Linked DNA regions of Daphnia pulex. Each later gene encodes a partner of the first gene's protein in a complex. Links are inferred from orthologs where the notes say so. Each region holds a gene or a part of one and is shown in the gene's direction. Other genes may lie near its edges.

What was found. The genes of interacting proteins can lie anywhere in the genome.
Region 2: nuclear pore complex protein Nup85-like (region 1) and PCI domain-containing protein 2-like share a complex: the UniProt entries of both Drosophila melanogaster proteins name them as parts of the nuclear pore complex. The link is inferred for Daphnia pulex from reciprocal best matches to the Drosophila melanogaster genes Nup75 and PCID2.

Annotation. Positions count from the first base shown.
Region 1 is NC_060023.1:4,665,590-4,669,346, forward strand, and holds the start of nuclear pore complex protein Nup85-like, read left to right. Parts: upstream 1-1,590; 5' UTR 1,591-1,732; coding exon 1,733-1,747; intron 1,748-1,809; coding exon 1,810-1,918; intron 1,919-1,975; coding exon 1,976-2,562; intron 2,563-2,632; coding exon 2,633-2,755; intron 2,756-2,868; coding exon 2,869-3,087; intron 3,088-3,214; coding exon 3,215-3,757. Other genes in the region: nuclear protein localization protein 4 homolog, read left to right, coding at 1-175; rRNA methyltransferase 2, mitochondrial-like, read right to left, coding at 320-580, 652-769, 834-882, 951-1,090, 1,198-1,358. UniProt on the Drosophila melanogaster protein: Component of the nuclear pore complex (NPC) that seems to be required for NPC assembly and maintenance. Required for nuclear import of phosphorylated Mad via importin msk.
Region 2 is NC_060025.1:7,985,529-7,989,285, forward strand, and holds PCI domain-containing protein 2-like, read left to right. Parts: upstream 1-1,523; 5' UTR 1,524-1,697; coding exon 1,698-1,733; intron 1,734-1,808; coding exon 1,809-1,850; intron 1,851-1,928; coding exon 1,929-2,050; intron 2,051-2,112; coding exon 2,113-2,379; intron 2,380-2,444; coding exon 2,445-2,662; intron 2,663-2,724; coding exon 2,725-2,825; intron 2,826-2,906; coding exon 2,907-3,106; intron 3,107-3,174; coding exon 3,175-3,272; intron 3,273-3,336; coding exon 3,337-3,452; 3' UTR 3,453-3,529; downstream 3,530-3,757. Other genes in the region: b(0,+)-type amino acid transporter 1-like, read right to left, coding at 373-509, 572-617; threonine synthase-like 2, read right to left, coding at 3,704-3,757. UniProt on the Drosophila melanogaster protein: Required for the export of nuclear mRNAs and involved in mRNA trafficking in the cytoplasm.

The DNA of each region.
Region 1 (3,757 bases):
ATGGAGCACTGTCCGTCAGCTCCTGGCTCACGCTGATCAAATGTCGACACCAGGGCAACCGATGGAAGAAGGTGCTACCGGAGATGCCGCTGGCAAATCCTGGACCTGTCTTCACTGCACTTTCATCAATATGCCTAATTTATCTTCGTGTGAGATTTGCAATTTGCCACACTAAATTTAAAAATTGTCACCGGCCAATCAAACTGTTAAAAGTGTGCTTAGAGTCAGTGATGTAACTAAGGTGAATTGAATACATGGATGAAGCAAAATTTCAGTAGACTTCAATGTGAATAAAGCAAAGTAAGTAGTTAAATAATTACTATGTATTTTTCTTGAAATTACTAGCTAGTATAAACATTTCAGCTGAATCCTGTCTACTACTAGGTGGTTTCACAACTTTGACTTGAGAATAGTGTAATGCAATCTCATTCTCCAGTTGTTTGATTCTTCCTCCTGCCCATAATTTTATCAATAGCGTAGCTCCGTCCATAGAGATTTGTTGCGCGTAACGCAGCACTGAATATGCTAATTCTAATATCCTATCTTGATCCAAATCTCGTATACCCGATGCTGCAGGAGCCTAAATTTAATTAGCAAATATTAATTGAAATAATTTAAGGTAAAAAAAAACTGAAATAAAATCAGCCCTACCATATCACTTAGGACTGCATTAGCAAGTTGCCCACCAAGTATTTCTGTTATTCTGGTCTGGGACAAACTTTTTGTGAAATCTAATGGAGCCAAGATTACAGCTCCTTCAATTGGGTACCTGAAAGAATAAAATTGAATAATGTTAGTGAACTAAGGGTACCAAAACTTTGCAGCCCTTTTACATTGGTTGAAGATCAACTGCTACATGCTTTCCTTTAAGCTGAGAAGACACTGCATGAAATCCATAAACATTCTAGTGTCATTTTAATTAGGCTAAATAGTTAAACAATTCAATCTACCTTTTCCTGTTGCATTAATTCGTTTTACACATACTTGTGTCCAAGCACCAGGTGCAGCGCCACATTCTACAACCACATCTCCAGGTTTAAGGAATTTGTGTTTGTCATCAATTTCAATCAATTTAAAGGCACTTCTAGCTCTTTCTTGGTTAATAAGAAGTAGTAAATATTAGACAACAATTAAACTGAAGCTATAGCCTGTTAATTGAAAATATTGAAATCATAATTTTTATTTGAAAATTACTACCTATAATTTTCCATTTTGGCTTTAAGAACATACTCGTCATTCATTTGCCGAGTTAGCCATTCTTGAGAACTTTTACTGCGGCCCTTTAGCCGATCGGGCACTTTTTTAAAGCATGTTGAAGACGAACAAAACTGTCTTACTGAACAAACGGCAATGTTCATAGCAAAAACTTTGTTGAAACGGATATTTTAATATGGATCAAATAAATTCTTCAGGTGAAAAGCGATAAACAACTTGAAAGTATTAATGAAACAGCAATATAACATCACCTAATAAGATCAAGTAGACTATGATATTTTGTCAACAAACAAGCAGCCACGAAAATTGAAATTTCCGCTATCGACATTCGGCAGCACAGGTCATAGTTACCGCCGTAACCATGGCCATTGCAGTATGGTGTAAAACCGAAGCAGCAGACGACAGATTAGAAATATTTCAAAAAAGTACTCGTTACGAGTTCTGACTGTTAGTTGAAATCCTTCTGAATCCTACACACAATTACGATTTGTGACGTGATTTTCACGCATTTTACAGAATGCTTGAACCTATTGTAATAATAATTTCGAATTGTTCATGGTATACATATTTGTAACCAAACTTTCTTTGTTTTAGGGAATACAAGATCCTCTATTTGCATACAACAAAGATGTTGGGCATTCTTGGGGTTATGGTAACAGCTTGGCTGTATTTCCAACAGAATTTTCCAAGTCGATCACCTCTGGTAAGTTCTTTCTGGAAGTTAGCCAAAAAACTCCTACTAAGTTTTTCTCAATGACAGGTCCAGTTAGTCCCCAGACTTGTAAGAAGAAGCTTTATACAATTTCTTGGGAGCGAACCTTGTACAATCCTTTTGTTCGCAAGCTGGTCAATGAATCCTGTGGAGCATTTACTTCTTTACAAATTAAGGCTGGCACAGATGGCCAAATCAGCTCATCTGAGTTAATTAAATCCAGTCATCAGTATCGTTGTATAATGAATGCATGCATTGAAGATTTGAACCAAGCAGCAGATCTTGCTAACAGTGTTGAATCTAATCAAGCACTTCAAGAAATGAGTGAAATATTTTACAAAGCTGAGTTGGTGTGGAATTTGTGTGAAATTCTGTATCTTGAGAACCCACTTGGAATTCTGCCACACCTATTAGAATGGATTCGTATTCATTTTCCAAATGCAGTAGAAGAAACTGGTACAGTTTTAGCATCACCAAATCCTGGACTCCATGAAAGCTATTGGAAAGCTCTCTATGGACTAGTGTTTCAGTTACGCTTAGAAAGTGCTACCAAACTGTTAAGAATTCATCCTGATTTCCAGAGTGAAGCTTTTCAGAGTGCATATGAGTTGCTGAAGAAAATGCCAGTCTTTAGTGTAAGAAAGTTCTTGTAATTTAGATAGATTAACAATTTTTCTATCTCCTAAGTATTTCTGTTCTATTTAGGCCAACTCAACTGTTTCTGCTCCAGAGTTTACCTTCAGATGGAATCATTGGAAAGAAGAATGTGAGGCTCGCACTCAAGCTGGAGATTTCTTCGAATCAAAAGATTTAGAACTTCTAATGGAGGTATATAATGTTTTATATATAATGATCTCTTAATTCCCATTTTTATTTTCATTAGTTTATGTTGTATGTCTTTTGTCTAACTTACATAAACTTTCTATTTACTTACGATAAAGATACTATGTGGCAAAGAAGAAGCATTTGAAAAAGTTGGCGATCATTTCGAAACTTGGTATCAACGAATGATTACTCAGTTAACGTTCACGCAACCCACAATTGGAACGTTATCTTTGGGAGATGAAGCCGAACAGTTTTTTGCTTCCTTAATCGGATTAGATGATTTGACGTCACTAGATGCAACACTTTTGGCCGTTCTTCGTCGCGACACGCGTAAAGTGAGTATCGCTGTTATCAATGGATAAGAGTTTTAAGCAAGTTTGATAAGAGTTCATGCAAGTATCAAGACACTACCAACATAATTAACTGGAAACGTTTTATATCTGTTCAAATTTGTTGTCACAGGTGATTGGAGAAATGCAAGGAGTATTGGATAATTCTTGGTTTACGGCACATCTCGCTGATTTATTGTATCACGCCGGAGCACTTCAGTCGTTCGAAGACATTAACTCACTACAGCTGAGAGAAACTTTGCTTCGTGACTACTCGATTTGCTTATTTAGCCACCAATCCTTGTGGTCGGTTGGTGTTCTCTATCTTGACCATTGCCCTAATGTTGGTTCTGCGACTCTGGAACACTTGCTCACTCGACTTCCGTGCCAGTCGGAAATGAAGGCAACCAAAATAATTTCACTTGCCGAGCGAAGAAAACTAACATCAGTGGTAACTTCCGTCTGTCGTGTAATGGGTCGACGGGCCTTGGCCAATGGACGACTTGGTGCGGCAGTCGCTTGGGCTGTTAAGGCGCAAGACGCTCCTCTTGCTACCTATGCCGCCGATGCTGTTCTGAAGAGTTACCTTCAAGATTCAGATTTTACTTCGACGGACTTGCTAGACTCACTGGGTGCTGGACTTCTTGCCAGCGATCGATTGGCTTTCCTTGGGAAA
Region 2 (3,757 bases), on another chromosome or scaffold:
CCTGTCAAAGATGACGACCGCCCGCTAGTAGAGCTACTAATAAACCCATGCAGATCCAATTTGGGTATTTTGAAAACTCTGAAGACTCTTGAGAGTCGTTTTTTAAAACAGCAGGGCAATTATTAGTTGGGAGAAATTTTATGACAACGGAAAGAAACGTTGCGTTATCTTTGGCCTATCCTCGCCTTGATAAATATTTAGATAATAAATAGCATCTTTTAGGGTCTTTTTGGATGTAACCAATGAGACGAAACGTTGTTTCTTTTATCTGTTTACATGCGTCTGTCACCACTCGGGTGCATGCTGTACTATGATTATTTGCCACTGAGATAACTTTATTATACTTGTTAAAACAGAACAAAGGAAACTTACCCGTCGATTCATTTGCAGTTCATCTTTAATGTTTGACACGGCATCGGTTAAGCTACTGTCATTAATACTGTTGGTCGAACTACTATGTCCATGATCGTCTTTTGATAAAGATTCTGTACGATTTTTATTCGTATCGTCTGAATGTCACAAAGAAAAATGTACATGTCATTGAAAAATGTGTTAAAGAAAATGTATTTACCTTGAGATGAGCGTTGTCGAATTGAATCACTTTCGGGAATAGTCATGTTGGAGCAATACGGAAATTATCCAGCCGAAAATCTAGAAGGGAAATATTTAAATTGGACCTTTGAAAATCCGTGTGCGAACGTATGGAAACGAAGTTTCCCTCCTACTATTTGCACACGTGATGCACTATATTTAATTGACTGTCAAAATAGGGCCACTGGGGCTCGTTGTCGACTAAAAGCGAATGATACAAAAGAAAAACTAGTAGTCAGGGGAGGCCGAAATAAGAATAGATCGGAAGTAGAAAAAGAGGGGGGAGAGAATGGAAACACGAGTGGTTCGGTCCACTCTTAAAGTAGAGCTGATTATTATTGACCATTCGCTGCTGATGCTGCTGTATCTTTTTTTACAGGGTTTAGCGTAAACCCGCCTATATACACACACACTGCAGTGTGTGTGGACTGCCCGCTGAGCGGCTAATCTATGTACTCAAGAGTTTTAAGCCATTTTGACATGTTTGTTCACTCTCTCTCTTCATACTTCTTAGTGAGGTATGAAATCATCTTAGACTGGCGCCACGCTTTTTAATTAGTCTGTCCAGGAGGTAGTTGATCCTTGTTTTTTTTTTTTTTACTTGGAACTCCTCTGTGCAATTTATATGTTATTGGAATCCCGACTCAATGTTTTATACATTTATACAGTACAGTCCTGCGTCAATTGTTTTGTTGGATTAAATCACATGCATTATCTCAGTTGTTGGATATGCATGATATGGAACCAGTTCTTTCTCAACTCATTCTATTTATGTTTATGTTGCGGCATGTTCAGTCGTAAAATAATATAATTCTTATTTTACTTTGTGGTTTTTCCTCCCTTTCGAGATCGAAAAACTTTGATAACAAGCGCGGCGTAAAATTTGAAATTGTAAATATGTAATTCAACTTGTTACCGCTAGATGACGTAAGAGTTTCTAGCAGACGAAGAGCTGAGGAACAATTCGAAAGCGACCGGTCGGCGTGATTATTGAAATTTTCTGTCAAATAATATCCAATTGTGTTTCGCCAAAATTAGATTTCTGTAAGCCACCGATGTCCAGTTTTAAGTTAGTCTCGAAAAATCATTTCTAAGACACTAAAAAAATGGCTAACTTGAATTTGAATCAATATTTACGTGAGGTAACACAGCGCGTCACAAACAGAATGCATTGTTTACACATCTTTAGTTGATTGTTTTTATTTAAACTATTTTAGATTCAATCTTCATGGCAATCTCGAAGTGGAACTGAAGTTTCAGTAAGAAATTCAAAATTAAATTTCTTGTAAAATCATGCTCATGCAATACTTCACGTCTTCTTATTTTGAAACCTTTAGGAACTCCTGTCATTCAATCACCCACATGTTATGAGCTCCAAACTTATTTTGGAGGGATTTGAAAAGTCTGTTGAAAGAATCGTGGAAGCTCCTTTTGATGAGATTGTTGTCCTTCATCTCAGGTATACAGTTGAACTTTCATCAATTTTAAATTTTGGTTTCAACTTTCAATTTTACCATCTAGATGCTTAAGCTATATCAACCAGCAAAAGTATTTAGAAGCATACTCTGAGCAAAGTGCTTTGGTACAGGCGTTTACAAAGCTCTTTCAGACACAGAAGGAAGACAACTGGGCTTTATTCATCATGTATGTCATAAGTTTAGATTTGCGTATGTTTGCAATCAAAGCAGACAAAGAATTGGCCAAAAAAGGAGCAGACAAACCAGGACAAACACTTGAAAAGGCTGCAGAGTGCCTCATGGGACTTTTTAGAGTGTGTGCTGCTGACAAGTAAGAAATAACATTTTGCGACTTATGTAGTAACTAGGTACTCATTCTTTTGTTTGAATTTACAGTCGGTCATCTGATGAAGATACAAAACGCTGGGGAATGCTGTATTTGGTCAACCAGCTGTTGAAAATCTACTTTAGAATAAACAAATTGCATCTTTGTAAGGCTCTTATTCGCGCAATTGATGCCTCCCAGTTCAAGGACCAGTTCTCCCTCAGCCAACAAGTGACTTACCGATACTATGTCGGCAGAAAGGCCATTTTCGAAAGTGATTTCAAAAGCGGTGAGCAGAGTAACATAAATTTCTAAAAGATAATCAATTCTTATATTTAATTTCGCATTTAGCTGAGAAATATTTATCCTACGCGTTTGAGCGGTGTCACAAGAACTGCCGCGCCAACAAACGACTGATTTTAATCTACCTGATTCCCGTCAAAATGCTTTTGGTATGACTTTCATTTGTTGTGTACACATAATGCGATGGAAAACGGAAGGAAGATGCTTAACGTATTACATTTCATTTAAAGGGTCATCTTCCTACAACCCAATTGCTGAGAAAGTATGACCTTCTACAGTTTAGCGAAGTGGTGCAAGCTGTTAGGGAGGGTAATCTCCGGAGACTCAACAATGCCCTTCTTCAACACGATGCCTTTTTCATTCGCTGCGGTGTTTATTTGATTCTTGAAAAGTTAAAAGTCACCACCTACAGAAACTTGTTTAAGAAAGTGTAAGGGATTTTATTGTTGGTGTTGAAAGATGAGCCGACATGATTTCTTTTGAATTTATAATTTTCAGAACTTTGCTCATGAAAACTCATCAAATCCCGATCGAAGCCTATCTTGAGGCCTTAAAATTCATGGGAGTTGAAGACATAGACTTGGACGAGACGCAATGTATAGTGTTACATAAATTAATGTGGCTTTTATAGAATTTGATCCATTTCTTTTTATAACGCAGGTATCATTGCAAACCTCATCTTTGAGAACAAAATCAAAGGGTACATTTCCAACAGCCACAACAAGCTGGTAATCAGCAAGCAGAATGCGTTCCCATCGCTGGCTGCTATCGTATAAGTTGGATCTAATATCTCTTACACACACCTGTTTTCGCGACTAATTGAAACAAAATAATAAATTTCTTATTGAACGAATTGTTTCTTGCTTCCTATTTTTGTATTAAGTAATAGTTTTAGCTGTTTTCTTGTTTCAAAGTCTTACATATTTGTGTTAGGTTTCACCTGACTACGCTATTCTACACCAAAACTGAGTGAATCTCAGGTAAATATTCAAATTTGTTTGTGACGATATTCAACGGTTTTTTCCCCCTAAATCTTAAGGATGATATCTTTTAATTGACTTGTCCAATCGTGGCCCTTTAG